3 linked regions of the Sus scrofa genome follow. The protein of the gene in region 1 binds, or shares a complex with, the protein of each later gene. Links are inferred from orthologs where the notes say so. Each region holds a gene or a part of one and is shown in the gene's direction. Other genes may lie near its edges.

Region 1 (7,714 bases):
AGGCAGAAAACTGCCTCTGTTGGCTTAATGAGATAAATGAGAAAAATGTATGTGTTGTAAGAAGATAGGATTCGAGTTCCCGCTGTGGCACAGTGGGTTAAAGGATCCGGTGTTGCTGCAGCTGTGGCATAGGTAGAAGCTGCAGCTTGGATTCTATGCCTGGCCAGGGAACTTCCATATGCCATGGGTGCTGCCAAAAAAAGAGAAAAAGAAGACAGGATTGGAGATTTAGGACAGAGGATAATGCTGGGACCCACCTACCGGAGAGATTTCAGTGGTGTCATCCTGGGAGGGCCTTCCCTGAACAGCGTGACAATTCCAGGGCACAGTCCTCTTCCCTCCTATCTTGTCCTTCCGCTCCAGTGGCTTTAGATGTGATGCAAGGACAATACCCCTGTGGGCAAAGGACGGAGATTAGGGGAAAGACCCAATGCTGCCTATAGGTGTGAGATGGCTGGATTTTCCATAATATAGGCTGTACCTGCTGGCAAGCCAACAACAGCAACAATAGCTGACAACCTTTGAGCACTTCCCAGATGCCAGACATTGTGCTCAGAATCTTCTATGCAATAATATTTAATCATAGCAATGGTTACTCTCTTTTACAGATGAGGAGTAGAGGCTCAGATTAGTAAAATAACTTCCACAAGATCACACAGGTAGTAGAGAGCAGGGCCAGGACGGAGCCCAGAATTGTCTGACTCCAAAGCACATGCTCTTACCTACTATTGTAAATCATTACAGGGGCGCCTGAGAAAAAGGGCATTAAGCCAACCTGAACTCCTCATAGGAAGCCACCCTCTGTTCCACTGCCCGTAACTTGGCAGCGTTCTCTCGTTTGTACTTCTCATCAGCGGTGAGGGCAGCCTGCAGCTCTTTCTCCAGAGCCTTAAAGTCAATAATGTCATTCCTTTCCATGGCCTGTGCCTGCGAAGGCAAAGGGAATGAGTGTCAGCTGAAGGTCAATATCAGGGGTGGGGGTAGGGGGTGTGCATCTGGATTCTTTGCCAGCCCACAAAATGACTCCAAAACACTTTGGATATTGTGTTACTTACCTTGGAGAGTGTGACAAAAGTCTAAAAATCTAGTTCTCTCTTTTACAGAGGGGCATTACATAGTGAGTTTTCGCTTAAGACTTGTCACTGAGAACAGTGTCTTGAATTTCAATTTAGTGCCCTGCCTTAATTTTGTTCTCTGCCTCTAAAAGTATTTTTTAATTGAAGTATAATTGACACACAATGTTATACGAGTTTCAGGTGTACAACATAGTGATTTGATATATACATTGTGAAATGATCACCATGATAAGTCTAATTACCACCTGTCATCATTCAAAGTTATTACAGGGAGTTCCCTGCTGACTCAGCAGGTTAAGGATCCAGCATTTTCACTGCTGTGGATTGAGTTGCTGCTGTGGTGCAGATCTGATCTCTGGCCCAGGAACTTCCGTATGCTTTGGGCTCACTCCCCCCAGAATTGTAATAACTTAATTACTTTTTTTGGGGGGGGGTGCAGAAGTTCCCAGGCCAGGCATTGAACTCACACCACTGCAGCAATTCGAGCCACAGCAGTGACAATGCCAGATCCTTAACCACTAGGCCTCCAGGGAACTCCCAACAATATTATTGACTATATTCCCTATTCTGTGTTATTACGTTCCTATGTCTTATTTTACTCCTGGAAGTTTGTGCCTCTTAACTGCCTTCATCTATTTCGCCTATCCCATTACTCCCCTCCCCTGCGGCAACCACCAGTTTGTTCTCTGTGTCTATAAATGTTTGTTTTGTTTGTTTGTTTGTTTGTTTTTTTAGACTTCACATATAAGTGAAATCATACGATATTTTTGTCCGACTTATAATTCCCTGTGGTATCCTATAATCCCTTAGCATAATGCCCTCTAAGTGTTGTTGCAAATGGCAATTTTTCATTCTTTTTTCTAATTTTTCATTTGTTTTTATTCTGTCTCTAAAAATATTTGGCTGAGGAGGCATTTATTTATTCAGAATTCAGCCCCTTCCTGCTTCCACATGGGTCATTCCATAGTGAGTTGTGATAAGAGCCTCTCACGCCAAAGCAGAACTATTATAACTGATTCCTTTTATACATATTTTTCCCCCTTCATTTGAACCATCTTTATTTGAATTCGATTTTTCTTTTTCTTTTCTTTCTTTTTTTTTTTTTTTTTTTTTTTTGTCTTTTTAGGGCTGCACCCACATCATATGGAGGTTCTCAGGCTAAGGGTCGAATAGGAGTTGTAGCCACCAGCCTATGCCACAGCCACAGCAATGCCAGATCCGAGCCACGTCTGCGACCTACACACAGCTCACAGCTCACAGGAAAGCGAGATCCTTTAACCCACCGAGCGAGGCCAGGGATCGAACCCGTGTCCTCATGAACGGTAGTCAGATTCGTTTCCGCTGAGCTAGATGGGAACTCCCTTATAAATGACTCTTAGGTCCAGGGATAAAATTGTACCCGTTGTTAAATGTCTTTAACAAGAAACATACTTTCAACCCAAACCAGATGCAATGGCTGAACAGGAAATCAATTAGATGTGGTAGAAGAGGGGACTCAATGATCCCCATTCCCAAATCCCTCTGTCCAGACCAGGGCTAGAGCACAGGTCCCTGGGTACTTGGGTAACCTCTTTAGTTCTGCCACTGTATTTCTGCAGCCTCCGCGTATCTGAGGCTGATTAACCCGTTCCGTAAGATCACCTATATGGGTTCTAATCTTGACTCTGGCATTTACTTGCTGTGAGACTCCTTTGAACCTCAAACTCCAAAGAATTTAGTGCTTTGAGCTAGATTAGGTGGTGAAGTCATCATCAACAGCCCTAGGGCAGGAAAGCAGATCAACAAGCCCGGAGCCCTCCCCCTCCACCCCAACACAGTAAGCGGAACACCAAGGAGGAGGCTGGGCTGGCCAGGAACTGAACTCAGGTGATCCGGTTCCTGTTCAATCCTGAGCCCTCCCCACTCACTGAGTAAGTACAATACCTAACCCTCCCGCCCCCTGAACTTCACCCCAGCAGCCCCGGCCTTGGTTTCCATTCTTTCTTTAGGAATCCCAAACCAAAACGGCTCGACGTAGACCACGCCCAGCAGCTGTGGTTGCCCAGCAACTGCTTCAACAGGCCCGCCCACGTGACCGGCTCGAAGGCCCCACGTCAGGGTAGCCCCGGGGCGCCTGATCAGATTCACTCTTCCCTCAGGCCTCGCTTTCTTTGGAGCAGTCTACGCCTCGGTTTGGGGACCCACAACTCTGCCCTGCAAGTTCCTGTATCCGCGGCCGGCATTCCTCCAAGCTGGTTCTCAGGCAGAGGGCTGTCCTCCGTGGCAGAAACGCGACCACTGCGTCTGCGGGGTCCTTCCGGACGGCGGGCGCAGGTGGTGCGGCGGCGTGGGGCGGAAGCAAGGCCTCAGGCGGCAGACTTGGTGTTTTTGGCCCAGCAACGGGAGGTGAGTTGGCCCTGGTCAAAGCGTGGCGAGGTCGCTGCGATGGGATGGGAAATTCAATAATGTCGTATCTGGAAGAAACGTTACATGCGGTTTTGCCACTTTTACTTTACAAATGGGTGAATTGAGGCGTGGAGCGGGAAAGGGAATGAACTCCCCGCAACACACACGGATTCCGGTTTTCCCTCAGTGTCATCTATTTATAAAACTCCTTCTCTGGTCGTTCTCTAACTGTTCATTCCCCTGTCTCACTCCCTCTTCCATCTGTGCCCTCTTCACCCCTTCTCTACCAAGCTCCCTTGGCCCTTGCTCTGTATTCCTTTGAGAAACTTGGACTGTAGCGGGAAGCTGCAGTGAAGTTTAGTACCGAAGCTCACTAGTTTTGTGCAACTGTGAGCAAGCCAACTATCTTTTCTTTGCTTGTTGGAGCCATTTATTTAGTCTTTCAACAAATACTTACTGAGGTTCTGTTTTGTGCTGGACACCTCTCTAAGTGAAAAAAACAAAAAACAAATCCAAAGTTTTTGCTTAAGCTGTATTTGGAGAGAAGACAGTAAATACATGAACAGATATGTGTCAGCTAATGGTAAACGTTAATAAAAACAATAAAACAGTGAAAGCGAGGATTGCAGAGTGTGTGTATGGGGAGCTTTTTTTTTTTTTTTTTTTTTTTTACAGTGACAAGGGAAGGGTTCTCAGAGGTGACATTTTAGTAGAGACAGTGAGATGAAGGAACAGCTATGCATGTCCAAGGGAAGGACATTTCAAAAGAGAATAGTAAGTGCAGTGGTCCTGAAGCAGAAATAAGGTCATTTCATAGGTGTTTTGGGAGAATGAAATGAGCAAGGATGTGATAGCTCTTTGGAGCTAAAAAGAACCTTTATGCATATGAAACTTTCTGTAATAATTTCGTTTAATTACTAGTGCTTGGAGTTCTTAATTCTTCATTTTATCCACAGTCAGCTCTCAGTAGGGGGCACGGAGGGAGGTGGAGGGATTAACCTCATGCAAGAAATATCAATATCTTAAAATTAAACATTTCATTCAGTTAACCTTTATCCAGTTCCTACTTATGTGAGGTGCTGTTTTGGGGATTGGTAGTGAGCACAAAGAACACGGAATTCCTATATTCAAGAATGGCCAGGAGTTCCCGTCATGGTGAAGTGGAAACAAATCCGAACAGGAACCATGAGGTTGCGGGTTCGATCCCTGGCCTCACCCAGTGGGTTAAGGATCCAGTGTTACTGTGAGCTGTGGTGTAGGTTGCAGATGTGGCTCGGGTCCTGCATTACTGTGACTGTGGTGTAGGCCGATGGCTACAGCTCTGATTAGACCCCTAACCTAGGAACCTCCATATGCTGTGGGTGCAGGCCTAAAAGGACAAAAGACAAAAAAATTAAAATTAAAAAAAAAATGGCCAAAAAACAATGCCAGCTGACATTTATTGTGCCTAGTCAAATGTGACAAATTCTTTACACAGACTATTTTATTTAACTCTCATAACCCCTAGTGCAATGAGGATTAATCGGTTCGTTTTTCCAAATGAGGACTCAAGCTTGGAGAGGTGACTAACTTACCTGAAGTGACATAGTTATTAAGTGACAGTTTGGATTCACATCTGGAGTCTTCCACCTCCGGAGCCCTGCCCATTAATCCATGCTTTGGTCTATTGTTTATTACTTGTAAGCTGTTGAGTTGTTAGAGTAATTGGTAAGTTAACTACCATTCAGGACAGAATTAAAGGCTGAGAAGGACACAAAAGAAGAAATAAGCAGTATAGGAGAATAAGAAATTGAGGCTGTAGGAAGGCTTGAAAGAGGTGGCATTTGAACTTTGAATAGAATCTCAATAATTGAAGTAGAGACAACCCCACAATACTTAGTAATTACAAAGAGAAAACAAGTAATTTTACAGTGGAAAGGCCTAGTAGACACCACTGCAATCAAGGGATTAAGTTAGCATTACCATCAATGGGACAAATCAAAATCATGTGCCACCTGATAGGAAATGCTCTTAACACAGCTTCATTTCTATGATGTTCCTGCCCACAATGCATAACCTAAATCTAATCATGCTGAAACATCAGACAAAGCCAAATTATGGGACGTTCTACAAACTCACTAGCCTATAATCTTCAAAAGTGTCCAATCACAGAAATCAAGGAAAGAGTGAGGAACTGTTCCAGACTGAAAGACACTAAAGGAGTTCCCTGGTGGTGCAGTGGGTTAAGGATCTGGCATTTGTCACTGCTGTGGTGTGGGTTCAATCCCTGGCCTGGGAACTTCTGCATACCACAGGCAAGGCCAAAAAAAGAAAAAAAGACAGACGCTAAAGACACGTCAGCTAAACACAAACATGGAATCTGGATTGGATCCTTTGCTGTCCAGGACTCTGTTGGAACAGTTTGTGAAGCTTGAATGGGGGCCTGAGGATTAGGTGGCAGTAATGTGTCAATATAAATTTTCTGATATTGGTGGTTATATCGTGGTTATGTAGGAGAATGTCCTTGTTTGTAGGAATCACACACACTAAAGCAAGGGTTAGGCAAACTTTTGCTGTTAAGGACCAGCTAGTAAATGTTTTAGGCTTTGTGGGCCATATGGTCTCAGTGACAGCTACTCAACTCTGCTGTTAGAGTGTGAGAGCAGCCACAGGCAATATAAAAGAATGAGCATGGCTGTGTTCCAGTGAAGCTGTTTTTATAGACCCAAGATGGGAATTTCATATAACTAATTTTTGTGTATCATGAAATATTGCTCTTTGGAATTTTTTTTCCAATCACTTAGAAATATGAAAAACATCTTACCTTTGGGGCTGTATAGAAACAGTTGGCAGGCCAGATTTGGCTGCAGGTTGTAGTTTGTCAGCTCCTGCCCTGAAGTTTTGGGCAGTGATGAGACATTGTGTCAGCAACTTATTCTCAAATAATTTAGGAAAAAGAAACTTGTGCTCTTTTTGTGACTTTCTGGTATCATTTTTAAATTATTTATTTAAATTTTTTTTAGTATTGAAAAAAAGAATTGGGAGAAAAGTGTGTAAAAAGGGCCAGTGAGTACAGAGAGGAGGTGAATGTGCAGGACTTGGGAAGAGGAGTCTGGTTGATGTCACTGCAGAGCAGATTTGTGTGACGGGATGTGGTCAACCGTCGGCTCGGGTGGAGGCCTTGATCACCTTGCCAGCATCTAACTTCTCTTTTTGAATTTTAGCATCATGGATACTGACTTATATGATGAGTTTGGGAATTATATTGGACCAGAGCTTGATTCTGATGAAGATGATGATGAATTGGGCAGAGAGACCAAAGACCTTGATGAGGTAAAACAAATAACTTTTTTCAGTTCTCTCTTTTTCAAAAAAGCAATAAAGTAAAAAAAAAAAAAAAAAAAAAAGCAATAAAGTAATGAATCCTCTGTGCTCACAGAATACCCTGTGTATAGCTCTAATGTTGCCCTTTTTATCGTTATTATGACTTACTCGGGTCTTACACCGCCCCCAAGAAAGCTTGGCTACTGAAGTTCCAAAGGAGAACATAAGGTAATCTCATTGGTAGGGTGATTTTATACTCTTGAGCTCTAGTTCATCTGGTAGTTGTCCTTTGTCCATTTGTTTGAAGTGCCTTTTGGCAGTCATGAATAATTCCAACTTATCTAAGGTAGTCAACTTTTTCAAATGCCACTGCCGTGGAAACTCCCTCATGAACTGGGGTTTTGAAAGATACATGGAAGCAATAGAAAAGGGAGGCATAGATTTCTATGACTCTTCTTAGGAGAGTTATGGGGGATGAAGTTCTGAATGGTCTGAGGCTTACAAAAGATGCCAAATAAGGCTTTCGTGTTTTAACAGTTTTTTAGAACAAGATGAGGAAGAAGTAGATAGGCCCACTGCTTATTAGTGGAGGCTTGATATTAATGAAACAGCAGGAAAGGAGGACAGAAGTCCTGGCTGCCGTTTGTCTTTTCCACCTGAGAAAATATCCTTCAAGCTAGAAAAAATAGAGTAGACACTGGAAAAAGAAAAGTGAAGCCATACAGGTGAGGTGAAAAGGGAGTAGCTGGTACCTTTATATGCGTTCCGATCTCTGGGCCAGATGAATTACATCGTGGGTGGGAGGGCGAGGGAGACCTTGCAGGGAGGTAAGCTGAGAACCACCGAGGTCATCTTTAAGCAAATGGGGAGTGGCCATGGTGGTAGATAGTGGTTCAGGCAACTCGTCCTACTTTTCAAAGGGGAGATAAGCCACTGCATTCTGCAGCCAC
Region 2 (7,743 bases), on another chromosome or scaffold:
AGAGAGGAGCAAGAGAAGGGAATGCCTGTCTTTCAAGGCCCATTGTGATGACTCCCTTAAAATCTGCACTGTCCCCTTTGAGATAAAAATTAATCTTTCCTGGGAGTTCCCATCGAGGTGCAGTGGAAACAAATCCGACTAGGAACCATGAGGCTCAGATCTGGCATTGCTGTGGCTATGGTGAAGGCCGGGAGCCACAGCTCTGATTAGACCCCTAGCCTGGGAACCTCCACATGCCGTGGGGTATGGCCCTAAAAAGACAAAAAAAAAAAAAAAAAAAAATTAATCTTTCCTGATTTCCCACTCTTTGTTAACCCCTCTACAAACTCACCATATTCTGTCACCTACAATCATTATTTGTGTCCCTGTCCATTTCTCACTAGACTGTAAACTACATGAGGGCAGCAACTCTACATTTTATTTATGGTTCCATCTCCCAAGATGGTTACCACAGTGGTTTGAACATACCAAGCACAAAAACTGTGTGGCTACAGAAATATGGAAGAAAAACCCTCATCAACTTTTTTTTTTGGCCAAGGTGTGCAGCAACTTGATGTACCATCTCAGTTCCCAGACCAAGGATTGAACTTAGCCATAAATTTCATCATCTTTGGTGGTGAAAGCACCAAGTCCTAACCATTAGATCAACAGGGAACTCCTACCTTATCAACTTTAAAGCAATGTATTTTTACACCTACTAAATATACCCTGTCCATGACCTGAAATACTTGGCATAGGGAGTACCTATTTTGTGGGGGTTTTTTTGTTTGTTTGTTTGTTTTTTTTTTTGGTCTTTTGTGTTTCTAGGGCCGCACCTGCGGCATACGGAGGTTCCCAGGCTAGGGGTCTAATCGGAGCTGTAGCCACCGGCCTACGCCAGAGCCACAGCAATGCAGGATCTGAGCCGCATCTGCGACCTACACCACAGCTCACGACAAGCCAGATCCTTAACCCACTGAGCAAGGCCAGGGATGGAACCCGCAAACTCATAGTTCCTAGTTGGATTCGTTAACCACTGAGCCACGACAGGAACTCTGGGAGTACCTATTTTGTACCAACAAGGCTACCTTTCTGAAAAGGAGGCAGAGCACTGAAGAGGAAAAAAGAACAAGAGACAGGCACTTAAGGAACTTAGAACTAAAAACCAGCTCTTCATTATTTCCCATAAATGTTTCAACATTCTCATTTAAAACATTTCTATGTGGTTAATTGTAGGGGCTTTGGAGTTCCCTGGTGGCTCAGTGGGTTGAGGGTCTGGTGGCATCACTGCTGTGTCTCTGTTGTGGTGAGGGTTCAATACCTAGCCCAGGAACTTCCTGGCCAATCCCTGGCCAAAACAAAATAAAACAAAAGGGTATGGGCTTTGGAGTAAGATAGATTTGTTTGAATATTCACTCCAGCACTTACTAGTTATTTGACCTTGGTCAAATTGGTTAACCAATCTAAGTCTCAGTTTCTTCACCTATAAAAAGGGTATAATAATTGTATGCTTGATAGGGATGTGACGATCAGATGCGCTAATGGATGTAAAGTCTTTAGTATAGTGACTGGTATAATAAATAAGAGCTGCTCACCTCCACCGGGATATTGAGACAGGATTTGTCTCAACCAGACAGTGCAACACGAGATGGGACCCTTGTCAATTAATTTATCACAATTAACTAATTTAGACACAATTAGGAAAATTTCAGGTGAAGTTGCCCAGAGGGCCACTATATCCTCATGAGGAATAAATCTTTTCTGAGTGTCTGCGTCCCAATCCTGGAAGACTCACCGTCACCCCGTATTTGAGTGCTAGTCCAGCCAGGGTGTCTCCGGGCGCCAACTGATGCTCCAGGCGTCTTTCCCTCACCGGGGAGCAGGCAGACTGCACAAGGCTTCCATAAGAACGAGCCCGGCTCCCTTGAAGCAGTCCTGACCCCCCGAGGGGGGCCTGTCTAGAGGGAGAGGCCATCTCCTCACCCTGCGGACAACTGGAGTTGCAACTGCGGGAGGCCCGGCCAAGTGACCGATAGTGACAGGCCCGGGGTCTGGGAATGAAAATCTGGAGGATTCCTTTCCCTTTCTGTGTTCTCTCCTAAGTCTCTCCGCCTTCCCCCCACTAGGCGACCTCTGACTCCTGGCTTCCCCGCCTTCCAAGGCCTTTTCCCACAAACCTGTAACCTGACTGTTCAGTCCCTACCTGAGTTTCTCCTTAGTACCCCTCCGACTTTCGATCCCCCACAACTCGCGACATTGACCTCTGACCTTTGACCACTAGACACCCTCCTCTACACTACAGAGTTTGCCCCCAGGTCGGTCCGCCAGACCTCCCAGCCCCCAACCCCGATTCCGCGCGTCCCGGGCTTGGTCGCTAGGGTCGGGAACTAATCAGGCCCACTCCAGGTGGGCTGTGGCCTCAGGCGAAGGGCGTGATGACCGCGAGAATCTGTAGCACACTTTCCCCTGAGAGATCCTCAAAGGTACGCTCCGCATCAAATCAGTCACACTCTCAAACTCGGGATCCACAGCTAGGTTCCTCTTTCTCCAAACGCCTCTAATCTGCCAAGATGCAAGGGCCTGAATCGGGCAGGGCGGCAAGCTCTTTGAAAAAAGACTTCATTTCCCAAAAGGCTCCGCGCCGGCGGGGTCGCAGAGCACCATAGGAAATGCAGTCCCCTCTATGGGCTAGAGGCGGGTTTTCGGGATCGCGCGGCGCATGCGTGGAAGCGCATCCCGGAAGTAAGGGGGCCAACCGGAAAGAGACAGGAAAGAAAGGAGACGTCCCACTCTTGCTACGGTGGCCTGAAAGGAGTGGCGAACGCGGCGCGATAAAACTTATATTTCTGGGGCTCTCACAGTCGTGATGTCTTTCAAGAGGGAAGGGGACGATTGGAGTCAACTCAATGTGCTCAAAGTAAGCGCGAGAGGAGAGCATCTGGAGCAGCTTCAGTTGCCGTCTGAAGGCTGTGAGGGAGCTGTTTTGTTGCTGTGGCAACAACTCGGGGGAGGGGGGCGGAGGAAGCCAGACGATTGGAACTGGGCCGACACCCCTTCTTCAGCCCAGATCTCTACCCTTCTTGTGGCCTTTATTCCCTTTGAGTCCTCGTCCTTGTCATTTCCTTTTTGTTCCTCCCTCATATCCAGCTGACCCCGTCCTCATTTCTTCCCTTGTTCCCTGCAGAAACGGAGAGTCGGGGACCTGCTGGCGAGTTACATCCCAGAGGATGAGGCGTTGATGCTACGGGATGGACGGTGAGGACTAGGAGTGGATCAAGCCTGGGGGTTCTGCGGTTAGAGGCTCAACAAACTTTTGTTATTAAGCAGATTGGAAAGAACAAGGAATCTTTGGCGGGGAGTGAGTAACAGGGATGTTGGTGGTGGAGACTGGGAGACTTGGGATTTGGGCTTTGGAAAGGAGTTCTAGGCTGTGGTGGAACCTATGGCAGAGACTCCACTCCCCAGGAACCAATTATCTTCTCTCCTCCTCTCTAGCTTTGCTTGTGCCATCTGTCCTCACCGACCGGTACTGGACACCCTGGCCATGTTGACTGCCCACCGTGCAGGCAAGAAACATCTGTCCAGTAAGTTTGTGGGAAGACAGAGCATAGAGAATAAACCCTTAAAGGGTTTATTCACTCTGGGTGCCCTCCTTTTAATTCTCTTTCCCTTTCTCCTGAGGCCTGCAGCTTTTCTATGGCAAGAAGCACCCAGGAAAGGGCCTGGAGCCAAATCCAAGACAACAGAATGAATTGAGGAGAGAAGAGACCAAAGCAGAGGTAATCAGAGAGGGGAGGGTGTGTTCCAGGCTGCACACCTTAGGCTTGAAGGCTCTGGATTCTTTCTAGCTCTGAAGGTTCTGACTTTGTCTCCCATCTCCATGCCAGGCTCCTCTGTTAACCCAGACTCGACTTATTACCCAGAGTGCTCTGCACAGAGCTCCTCACTATAACAGTTGCTGCCGCCGAAAGAACAGGTCTGTGGGGTGGGTAATCCAGAAGTAGGGAGGAACAGGAGATCGATCGCTCTAAAGTACTGTTTTCCAAATTGGATTCTGAGGAATACTAGTGTTCTGGAAATGCTAACTTGAATTTCAGGAAAAAAGAATTTTGTTTGGGAAATAGGATTTTGTAATCCTGTTTGACGCATAGTAATATTACGAGTTCCCATCATGGCTCAGCGGTGAACAAACCCGACCAGCATCCATGAAGATGAGGGTTTGATCCCTGGCCTTGCTTGGTGGGTTAAGGATCCAGTGTTGCTGTGAGCTGTGGTGTAGGTTGCAGACACAGCTCGGATCCCATGTTACTGTGGCTGTGGTAAGGGCTGGCAGCTGTAGCTTGCATTCACCCCTAGCCTGGGAGCCTCCATATGCCACAGTGCAGCGCTAAAAAGACCAAAAAAAAGAATAGTAACAGTATATTTTCAGGGTTCTACACAGTCTTAAAAAAAAAAAAGCTGAAAAAACTAACTTAGGCTTTCCTTAAGTTCATTTGATTCCAAAATCCTTTTTATGCAGAACACCTGTTAATATCTTGAGGAATACAGTTTAGGAAGCACTGCTTTAAGGGGTTGGGAGTTACAGGAGATTTGGTCCTTTCCTTTACTGCTTTTACAGACTTTGATTCTTCTCTACCCAGACCAGAAGCCCCTCGTCCCTCTGTCTCTCGTTCCGCTTTTTCACCCCCAGAGGTTGAATCCCAAAGTGAGAGGATCAGTAGGGAACTTGAGCCTGCGGCTGCATCACAAACCAAGGAATCAGCCACTGTCTCATCCCCTGCACCTATGAGCCCCACAAGAAGACGGGCTCTGGATCATTATCTCACCCTTCGAAGGTGAGTGTACGGAATCACTTTCCTCAGATTGTCCCTTTTCTCTCTGGCTCTCCTTTTTTCAAACCTCAAATATTACTTATCCCTACTAGCTTTTGGGGGGGGCGGGAGGCCATGCCCACAGCATGCAGAAGTGTGCCACAGCAGTGACAATGCAGATCTATAAACTACCGAGCTACCAGGGAACTCCGCTACTAAATTCTTAACACATTTCCTTTCCTGATCGATTCTGTTTGTTCTGATATTTCCAGTTCTGGATGGATCCCAGATGGACAAGGTCGATGGATAAAAGATGAGAATGTTGAGTTTGATTCTGATGAAGAGGAACCCCCTGATCTCCCCTTGGACTGACACTCTTTCCCCATTCAGTTCACAAATAAACTATAGTGGGCGCTGGGAGCCTGACTTTCCTTGAGTCTGGTTCCTTGTCTCATTTCAGGATTTCAGGTCTGTTCGTTCTCAGCCTGGCCAATATTTCCCTGCAATGTACACAGCTCCCCATACTTCTAGCCCCTCCCCCCACTTCTACCAAAGTCATGCCAAGCGTCAGCTGCATGCAGCCCGGTGCCCTAAAATAAGTCTGTCAGAAGGAGGTCTTTGCCCTTCATGTTGTCTGACTTCTTCCCCACCTCCACTCAGAGTCTTTTCCTCCTTCAAATGACATGAAGTTTTTGGGTAGGCACTGGGTGGGGTGGGGGTGGGAGCTGGACAGGTCTGGAAACAGGGCCAGGGCTTAGCCACCCTGTGAGAGCAGAAGGGACTGAAGGCATTGGCCAGGTTATGGGGGACACCAAGGGAGAGAGCTCCCCCCACCTCCTCCTGGTAACTTGACCCTCCCTGCCTGCTGATCCCTAGAGTATAAATAATCCCCTGATGAACTGGCAGTAACCCTGAGGGGTTAGCGCCAAGATTTCCACCCCAAAGCCCAAGGAAGGAGGCAGGCAGAGTGGACAGAGGGCCTTTATTTACAGGAAAGGGGGATAGATGAGGATTTAATTTAAGCATTCAGGGCTCCGGGCTCCAGTTGATAAAGGGAGGGTACTGTTATCTCTTCTTTTGCTGGCGACCTATAAAGGAAGAAGAGTCAATGCAAGTCATTATTCCATCTCTTGCTTCCTGCAGAGGTGCTCTTCTCCTTTCCAGTTCCTTGGCCAGACTCATAAAGAGGTCATGTCTTAGGCCAACAAGCATGCCCACCTTGCATTAACAAAATAAGAAACGACAGGGCACACAAAATACCACGCCTCCTAACAGGTATGTCTCGTTTCCCTTCCACCTCTCTGCTGGTGTATATTAGGGCAGAGGGGCTTTTCTGTATACTTTCTAATCACTTCTCGGTGTGAAGAAGTTCAGGTTCTTAGTCACTAAGCCAGCTTTCAGGAGGATCTACCAGCTTCCGCACCTACCTGGCCTCCCCGCAGCCCGACACCATGTCTGCAGTTACTCACGTAATTCATTGTTCCGTGTCATGGCCTGGGCCGCCCGAGCTCGTGGCCCCTGCTGTGTAAAGTGGTAGCCAAAGCGGACAATGGAGGGACACTGTTCGAGCACAGTGGCCATTTCCATCTCCACTGCATCTCCAGGCCACTGGCGCTGGGGGAGGGAGAGGTGGAAGCTGTCAGCCACCCTCTCTGGGCTGTTCATAGTCCCAGCCTCCTGACCCTTTGGGAGGTCTAAGAAGCTTGTTTCTCAAGAGTGGGGGATGAGAGGAACTGCCTTGGCTCCCCACATAGGGACAAAGAAGAGGAGAATTCAAACAAGATTAGATGAGGTCCTACCCCGGTGGCTCCTTAGGGAGGAGGCTCAGTGAGTAGTGGCTGACTGCAAAGACCAGGGCAAGGGCATGCTGACCTGGTTGTCTACGCGGAGCTCAGTGAGTGTGGCATTCTCCCGAACTGCCTTCAGCACAGCCATGAGCCCTGTGCTGCTGATGAAGTTGGATTCAATGTTCAGACTCTGGAGGCTACGATTCTCTCGCAACATGTCAGCCACCGCCTGGGGAGTGGGGATTTAGGTTAGGATTAGGAGACAGTTTCACAGATGATTGAAGGGAGGGGAAAAAAACAGGAGCAAGAGGGAAACACAGCTCTTTGAAATGAGTCCTTAAGGTGTAGGTGGGGCTCAAGGAAGGCGGAAATGAGGAGGGTAGGAGAGGAAAACAGGGAGATGACGTGTGCAGTGGAGTTGGTGGTAGAGGGGGTTGTGGCTCTTTCAGAAGATGATCTGATGATTTCGGAGCTGTGAGTCATAGGACTGAAGTTGGGCGTCTCCAGCAGGGCTCCCCTAAGAGAGCATGATGGGAATAGCACCCACAGCATAACCCCAGCCAGGGGTACATGTCAAGGTACAGGGAGAGGGCTAGGGGTGTCAGCTAGCCTTACATGGGCAATGGGGTCACCGCTCCTTGTGGCCACCAGACTGAAGCTCCGGACATGGGTATTCGTCTTCATTGCCTCACACAGTTCAGTTAGCATGGGTATCGGGATGTCCTGTCAAGGGGGGATTGGAGATGATGGGCTTGGGGACCCACCTACGTCAGCAGTTAGGATAACTGGGACAGTGTTATTCCTTAGAGGGTGGGGGTCAGATACCTGGATATTATTGAGGTTCACCTCCTCCAACTCCTTGTCATTGCTTCGAACACTCTTCAGTATCTCCTCGATGTTTGTGGGATTTGGGGGCTCATCTGGCACCGGCTTATACTTATCAGGCTGCACCACACCTGGTGGGTGAGGGCAGGAAGAAAACCCCAATATGTCCCCCACAAACTCTTCCCCATTGGTTCTCCTATCACATAGGCATCATGTCCTCTCCCTCTTCACTTGTTTCACCCTTTGCTACCTATGCTGAGACTCTGGGACCACCTGCAAAGCGCCCTGGGGGCCATCCTCCTAAACAGACTCACTGCTGATGCCTTCGGTGTTGCAGATTT
Region 3 (7,759 bases), on another chromosome or scaffold:
TAAATAAATACATGTATTTATATTCAATAGTGACATAAAACATGACTATATAGGTTCACGATGCAATGATATCTATTTACTGCATGGCAAGAATCTATCAAACATTGTGGGCAGTCTTCCAGCAAGCAATAGGCTACTGATTTTTTGGGAAAAAAAAATCAGTTTCTTTATTCACTGTAAATAACCCACTAAGTACTTAAATAATACTTTATTCTTCCAGTAAAAGAAATATAACCTACATCTAAATATCAGTTATCAAGAAATAAGCCTTACCTTGTATGATAATGAACTTCTTTTAGATGATGTATTTGATTTCACTACTAAATATAATATTAAATTGACAGCAGTTACGAAAACAGAACAGATGCACAACCATGTCAAGTGCGTTTCCAATATTGAGAAGTTCTCCAAGAAGAATGATGGAATGAAGATGCTTAGGATAATTGAAAATATGCATAAAAGATGGGCATACAGCAGTCTCTTGATGTCAGTATCTTTCATGGTGTTTCCTTGAGTGGCTATCTAATGAAAAACAAATTAAGAAAAGAGCATAGGCAATAATGACTTTTACCATTGCCCTAAATGTTCCAATGTCTAAAAATAAGCCATGAACCAAAGTCAATTTTCTGTGGGCAATAATGTCTTGTGTTAGAATATAGGAAGATGCACATGTGTAAACGCACGTAGAGTAAAATGGTACAAACAGCTCTCAGAACCTAAAAAAGGACAAATTTACTAATTTCTTAAGTATTTGTGTCTAGTTTCTGCAAAAAAAAAAAAAACGGTCATGTGCTAGGACTAATTAAGGAATTTTTTTTTTTTTTTTTTGGCTTTGTCTTTTGTCTTTTTAGGGCTGCACCCACAGCATATGGAGGTTCCCAGGCTAAGGGTCTAATGGGAGCCATAGCTGCCAGCCTATGCCAGAGCCACAACAATGCCAGATCTGAGCCGTGTGTGCAACCTACACCACAGCTCATGGCAACGCCAGATGCTTAACCCACCGAGTGAGGCCAGGGATCAAACCTGTGTCCTCATGGTTCCTAGTCAGATTCGTTTTCGATGCGCCAAGACGGGAACTCCGGAATTCTTTTCTTTTTTTTTTTTAATTCCTTTTTTTTTGCCAAAATCAGAGGTGAAAACAAACTGCCTGGGTTAATGATTGGATCCTTTGGAAATACAAGATACGTGTTCTAGAAACCCCATAGTATACTTTGGCTGAATTGTTGGCATTCTTTTTTAATCACTGTGTTCCATTGTCTATCAACACAGTTGTTCACATTTTCTAGCAAATACCAAGAAACAGCAGGTGCACACTGAAATACACAAATGGTGGTCAATGTCATCAAGAGCGTTCAAAAAACATCATGCTAAACTAAGGGATCTCAGCGCCCCAAAATACCAAAATGGCAATGTCAGACGCTAGATTCCAATGAAAAGAAGAGCTTCATGAAAAGGGAAAAAAAATTTTACTTTCTCTCTCTCCCATCTCTATATATCTATTTTATGTATGCATGTATTTACAAATTATCTAACAGAGAGCTTATATGTAGTATTGACTAATGTTAAGTAAGGAGTCCACGTGTCACACTGTGGTGACTAGTCCAGAATAAAACCCCATATATATACACACACATATATGTGTACGTGTGCGTATATATAAAAGGGTAAAAGGGCAAATCCAGGCCTTATCCTAACACTCTCATTTATTCACACTATATTTTTCAAAAGAAAATACATTACTGATAAGGAAAAAGACTAGCAGAGATTAGTAAACATTGCAAGCTACCAAGGTCCCAAGTGCTAAAGCCATTTCAAACCCTAGCTAACCTTTTTGATGATATAGATATATACTAGGAGGTATGAATGGCAAGAAAGGAGAAAGGAAATCTTTCTCACCGGTCCTATCTTCTTCTGGGCCACCCTCAAAATCCCAATTGACAGGAGCAGATTTGTACATAAGACAGTGAGCAATACACAAACTTAATGCTGCGTGAATGAGTGAATGAACGAAGAGTAGGTGCAGAGTTGCCCTTCCTGAGAAACCAGCCTTATATTAGGCCTTGGAGAGCTCAGGAGGACTTCCGCCAGGTGCCCCCTGGGGCAGCTATTGCCCAGGTGCCCGTGGTCTGACCTGGCCCAGATCCTCAAGCCTTGCAGCGGAAGAGAGGGCCATTCTGAAAGGCTCCTGGAGGCGCCTTCGCGGGAATCGTGGGACCGTAATCTCCAGCCCCATCCCAAACTGGGTCGCTGCGGACTCTGCCCAAGCCCCAGCCGACTGTGGGCAGAAAGGGACAAGCTGAGAAGCATAATCAAAGAGCACAGGCGTAAAGACCAAGAGAAACGGCGGGACAAACACAGAAAGTCGGAACTGAAAAAGAGCCAGTTCATCGGGGCAGCCCCTGGGTCACGCCGGAAGGGCGGCGCTCGAGGGGCCCGCGGGCAAGGGCCTATTGGTAGCAGAGATTTCCGATCAGTTGGGCAATTGGCGGGGGTGGCTTGCAGCCGCTGGAGGCTCGTGCGCCGGGAGCGTCCGGCTGGGCTTACCTAACTCTCCCGCTCGCGGAAGAGAACGGGAGGGCTACTACCTCCCACCATCAGGTGCAACTCGCCGCCCTGAGTCTCGCGCAGGCGCAGGCCAGCAGGGCGGAGACCGAAGGCCTCACAACCAATCGCAGAAGTGGAGAGGTGGGCCAAGAAGGAAGCCCCGCCTTCCCGCTCTCCTTTATTCCTCCCGCGGCTTTCCAGGTGTAGAATAGGCGGGGCGGAGGATCCGGAAGTGGACTTTCATAACCCGGAAGGGGAGTGTTTTCTCAGCTGTGGTGTTGATGGTTTCCAGCTCCCGATCCTACTGCGACTGAGGGAATCGTCGCGAAAGGATGGTGTGCGAAAAATGTGAGTTAAGGAAACTCTTCTGCGGGAGAAGAAGGCTGGGACAACCTAACTGGAGTTCCCCGGGACTTTATTCCTTTGTTTTTACTTTGGCCACAAGTCTCTGATTCTAGCCTCTGTTCTGTCCTGCCCTTTGACCATTCCTGCCTCTCCATCGACCGTATAGTCCTCCGTTTGTTGCATTCAGGGTGGTCTCCTTGTCTGTTTTGCACCTCCTTGTCTGTTTCCATTGTTTTCGTTCAACCCCTGAGCTTCTTGACTGGCTCCCTCATTTCAGAGCTTCAGGTTGAAATGGATCTTAAAAGTCGCTTCCACAGCAACTGGAGTTGCTAGGTTTAGCAAATAAAAGTACTGGACGCCCAGTTAAATTTGAATTTCAGGTAAACCAAGAATAATTTTTAGTGTGCGTCCTATGCAATATTTGAGATTTGGCTCTGTTTGCTGCTCCTTACTGCTGTAAAGCAAGGCACTTACTTTTAGGACATTGTCTACTGAAAAAGTATTCATTGTTTATTTGAAATTTAAATCTAACTTTTGGCGCAGGGTTCCATACCTGGCCCAGGAACTTCCACATGCTGTGAGTGCTTAAATGGTCCTTGAACGAATACCCAGAGTATTGAGGAATGGTGGCCGGTGTGTAGGAGAATCTCACCACCTTGGAAGCAGTCCGTGTTGATTTTACTGGCTTTTAGAAAGGTCTTTCCTTCTTCTAGTTGCCGTCCAGTAATTCTAATACCACCCTCTGAGATTTGATATTTTTGCTCCCACAAACTGGTTGTGTATTTAAAAAGAGCAGTCTTATTCCCGTTTTCCTGAGTCTAAACATGTCCTCTTAATTTGATTATCGTCAGTTTGATTATCATCTAATTAACTTGATCCATTTCGTTTACCCCCCCCCCACAGTATATAAAGCCTTATAGCTTTGAACACAGAATTTGAATCACAGTTTTCAGATTAGGTGAAAGAATGACCATGACAGTTACTTTAATACATTCTCAAGGTGCAGAGAATAATTTGGGATTTCTGTATCTGGAGACTGGCATTCAGGATGACCCTCTACAATGAGGCCACATCTTACCTTTTTAACTTTATTTTCACTAACCCTTACCATCTTTACAGTTCAGCCAAGCCAAACTATTTTGCCTGACTGCATGTACCTCGAGTTCTCCACGCCTTTTATCAGGATGTGTCCTTTATCCAGTTTACCTTCATCCTCCTTTCTCCTTTTTCTTCATGGTCTCATTACCACAAACCCTCTCTACTGCCTTCTTCACAAAGCTTTCCTGGATTTCCCTAGTCAAGGTTATTTCTTCCTCCATGGAATGTATCTTAGTACTTCAGCTCTTAACATACTGTTTACTTTCAGTTGAATAATGCTAAACTTTTGTTGTTGTTCTCGGAGCCCTTTGAGAATGTGACAAAAGCTGTGGACTTAACAGAGTCTATTAAAAAAAAAATGGATATACAGAGGTTTGTGTTCAGTTTCATCTTGTTCATGTATTTCCTAAGGTCCACATGTGAAAACTCAGGTTAAGAACTGTTGTTAGAGATAAATCAGTATGATGTAAACTCCTTGAAATCTAGAGCCTTATCTAATTCATTTTATTTTTCTCTGTACTTTGTACAATGGTTTATATATCACTGATATTTAGTAAATGAACAGATTTATCAGATTTGTTTAAAGCATTAATGTACAGAAACAAGCCTATTATAGGCCATACTATTATCCACAGATTTGACTGAGAGTCAGTTATCCATGGCCCACAATTAGTATCATAAGTCTCAGTTCACTGGCCCCAAGCCTCAGCAATAACAGATTTGTATGTAATATGAATATTAATACCATTGTAAACTTAAGGCACAATGTAGTGTATTTATTAGATAGTAATGCTAACCCCCCCCCACTTTTGTTATCTTGTTATAACAGGTGAAAAGAAACTTGGTACTGTTATCACTCCAGATACATGGAAAGATGGTGCAAGGAATACCACAGGTATTTTTCCTTTTAGAACATAGAAATTAAATCAGATACTTCCTGTGAATAATGTTTTAGCTTTTACATTATTTGTAAAATGTTGTTAAGCATACAGCATATTTCATCTATTAAATATTAAAGAATACTGGACATTCCCCCCCACAACAATTTAATAACTTCATCTCCTTAGTTTTCTTAGTGACATGTCAGGGTTCCTAATTTGGTAGTCAGGAAATAGAGATAATTGAATGATTTTTAAGCAATGAGTATATCATAGTAACTGATTTGGTTCAGCCTAACTAGAGTTATTATTATTATTTTTTGTTTGTTTGTTTTTTGTCTTTTTGCCTTTTCTTGGGCTGCTCCAAGGCATGTGGAGGTTCCCAGTCTAGGGTCTAATCGCAGCTGTCGCTGTTGGCCTGTGCCAGAGCCACAGCAATATGGGATTCAAGCCGCATCTGCAAACCTACACCACAGCTCACAGCAACACCGGATCCTTGACCCACTGAGCGAGGCCAGGGATCGAACCCACAACCTCATGGTTCCTAGTCGGATTCGTTAACCACTGCGCCATGATGGGAACTCCTAGAGTTATTATTTAAATCCCCCTTTCCTCACCTGGTTTTTATATTCTTGAACAAATCATTTAAATGTTTTCACCTTCACAATCATTAATTACAGTGAAGATGTTTCTAAAGGGAAGAAAAAGAAACATTATCACTGTATTTAAGGTCAGTGGCACCAAAGTAGTGGCATCTAGATTTTGCATTAGATAGATTAAATATAGACCTGTTCCTAAAGTCCTGCTTTGAGTCTAAGAAATAAAATAATTGCCTTTTATCCAAATTTTTATTGTTTTATTGTTTTCCTAATAATAATTTTCTCCTTTTTAAGTAGCATTTTTAAAAGCCTTGTTAAGTGTTACTTGTTAAGTGCTATATGTGAAATGTGTAGAAATAACCCACTAAAATACATGTATATTTCAATGCAGAAAGTGGAGGAAGAAAGCTGAATGAAAATAAAGCTTTGACTTCAAAAAAAGCGAGGTGGGTATAAGAGCATCTATAGAGCAATCATATAAATTTCCACTCTTTTTAGTATCAAGTGTATTAGAATGAATTTGTTTTGTATCATTGTGTTATGATAAAACATGCAGTTAGGTAGTTGCTAGCATGCATAATCTATTATAACCTGCCAGTTTCATCCTGTTCTTCACTGTTTTAACTGTTATGTGAAGAAATTAGTGCTACTTCCTTTTTATTATTTCACCAGAAAGCATGACTTATTTTTTTTAGTTCCAAATTTTCCTGCAAACCAGAGGCAACAAAAAATGTGGACAGATCATAAGCTCTGGAGTCAGACCTAAATTTGAATCTTGACTTTGTTATTGTCTAGCTCTGTAACCTTAAGCAAGTTAAACCAGTTCCTTAACTTTTCTGAACATTACTTTTTCATCTAGGAATGGAGATAAAAATGTCTCCCACCATAAAAACAATTTTCGATGCCATACTTTATTATATCCAGTCTTAAAAATTCCATGAACCCTTCCAGGTGCCATCCCATTCCCTTGCTTCCTTTTACAACAGAAGTTTTCAAAAGCCTTATTTAGATAGTACTTTCTCATTGTCTTTAAATTCTATTTGCTCCTTCAACCACTCAAGTCAGGCCTGCATCTCCACCACACTCCTAAGCCTACTCTTGTCAAGATCACACATAACCTTTAAAACTGATGGCTACTTCTCTGTTCTTACCTTACTTGGCCTTTTTGCAACTCTATAGTCTCTTGGCATTGAGATACCACATTCTCCTTTCCTCTTAACTCACTGGCTGTTCCTTCTTAGTCAAGTGCCTCTGGACTCAATCCTAGACTTTTTTTTATTTGTAAATTTATAATTTCTCCTTAAATGACTTTAGTGCAGTGGCTTTAAATTCAAATTCTATGTTAATGACTTTCAAATGTGTATCTTCAGTCCTAAGTTTTCTGAACTCCAAACATTTATCTATTTGCCTACTTGACTTTTCCAGTCTAACAGGCAACACTTTTTTCCTTCAGTCTAATAATAGTCTTCTCATCATTGCTCCATGGTCTAGTTGTACAGACCTAAAAACTGGAATTTCTCATTTTTTCTTCATTTCCCTCTCTTCCCCATATCTACCAGAAAGTTCTTTGGCTCTACGACCCAAATCCACCTGCTTCTGTCCATCTCACTTCTAAACCACTATTATTAAGAAATACTGGATATTGTAATAACTTTATCTCTCTGCTTCTTCTCTGGTTGCCTGTATTTCATTCTCATACTAACCAGAGTGGCCCTTTAAAGGGCATGTAACTCCTTTGCTTAAAACCCTCCATTGGTTTTCTTTTTACATTGAGTAAAATCCTAGCCCCACCATGTTCTTACAGGGTCCTCCATGATCTGGCCCCTCCTACCTCTCTGACTTCCTATTGTGCCAACTCCTGCATCAGATATGCCAAGCCCACTCCCACTGGAAGAGGTTTGTGTTTATTGTTCCTCTTCCTAGAACTCACCCCTAAGAGCTTACATAGATGGCTCCTTTTTGTTTCTTGGGTCTCAGCTAAAATGTCACTTCTTCAGAGAAGGTCCCTAGGCAGTATCTAAACTATTATCTTCCTTCCTTCCCCTCATGTCTGCCACAGTATCCTCTTTGAATTTTTTCTCTAGAACAGGTATTACTATCTTAAAAGTGTGGTTGTTTCCTTACTTATTGTCAGTATCCTCTCACTAGAACATCAGCTTGATGAGGGCAGACACTTTGTCTGTCAAGTTCATCTTTGGTATTTAGAACAGTAACAGGCCCAGAAGAGGCACTCAGTATATATTTACTGAATGAAGTAATACTTGTTTCATGACATTGCTCCAAAGATTAGAAATA

What was found.
Region 2: EFTUD2 (region 1) and SCNM1 share a complex: the UniProt entries of both Homo sapiens proteins name them as parts of the minor spliceosome. The link is inferred for Sus scrofa from reciprocal best matches to the Homo sapiens genes EFTUD2 and SCNM1.
Region 3: EFTUD2 (region 1) and CRIPT share a complex: the UniProt entries of both Homo sapiens proteins name them as parts of the minor spliceosome. The link is inferred for Sus scrofa from reciprocal best matches to the Homo sapiens genes EFTUD2 and CRIPT.

What each region holds. Positions count from the first base shown.
Region 1 is NC_010454.4:18,471,188-18,478,901, forward strand, and holds the start of EFTUD2 (116 kDa U5 small nuclear ribonucleoprotein component), read left to right. Parts: upstream 1-3,179; 5' UTR 3,180-3,461; intron 3,462-6,664; 5' UTR 6,665-6,668; coding exon 6,669-6,773; intron 6,774-7,714. Other genes in the region: CCDC103 (coiled-coil domain-containing protein 103), read right to left, coding at 262-394, 776-927, 3,027-3,053. UniProt on the Homo sapiens protein: Required for pre-mRNA splicing as component of the spliceosome, including pre-catalytic, catalytic and post-catalytic spliceosomal complexes. Component of the U5 snRNP and the U4/U6-U5 tri-snRNP complex, a building block of the spliceosome.
Region 2 is NC_010446.5:98,077,358-98,085,100, reverse strand, and holds SCNM1 (sodium channel modifier 1), read left to right. Parts: upstream 1-2,726; 5' UTR 2,727-2,845; coding exon 2,846-2,896; intron 2,897-3,163; coding exon 3,164-3,234; intron 3,235-3,474; coding exon 3,475-3,563; intron 3,564-3,660; coding exon 3,661-3,758; intron 3,759-3,866; coding exon 3,867-3,955; intron 3,956-4,619; coding exon 4,620-4,814; intron 4,815-5,062; coding exon 5,063-5,162; 3' UTR 5,163-5,257; downstream 5,258-7,743. Other genes in the region: LYSMD1 (lysM and putative peptidoglycan-binding domain-containing protein 1), read right to left, coding at 1,775-1,954; TMOD4 (tropomodulin-4), read right to left, coding at 5,856-5,878, 6,260-6,404, 6,663-6,806, 7,193-7,300, 7,403-7,533, 7,717-7,743. UniProt on the Homo sapiens protein: As a component of the minor spliceosome, involved in the splicing of U12-type introns in pre-mRNAs. Plays a role in the regulation of primary cilia length and Hedgehog signaling.
Region 3 is NC_010445.4:93,920,900-93,928,658, reverse strand, and holds the start of CRIPT (cysteine-rich PDZ-binding protein), read left to right. Parts: upstream 1-2,742; 5' UTR 2,743-2,876; coding exon 2,877-2,892; intron 2,893-4,816; coding exon 4,817-4,882; intron 4,883-5,855; coding exon 5,856-5,910; intron 5,911-7,759. Other genes in the region: PIGF (phosphatidylinositol-glycan biosynthesis class F protein), read right to left, coding at 274-501. UniProt on the Homo sapiens protein: As a component of the minor spliceosome, involved in the splicing of U12-type introns in pre-mRNAs. Involved in the cytoskeletal anchoring of DLG4 in excitatory synapses.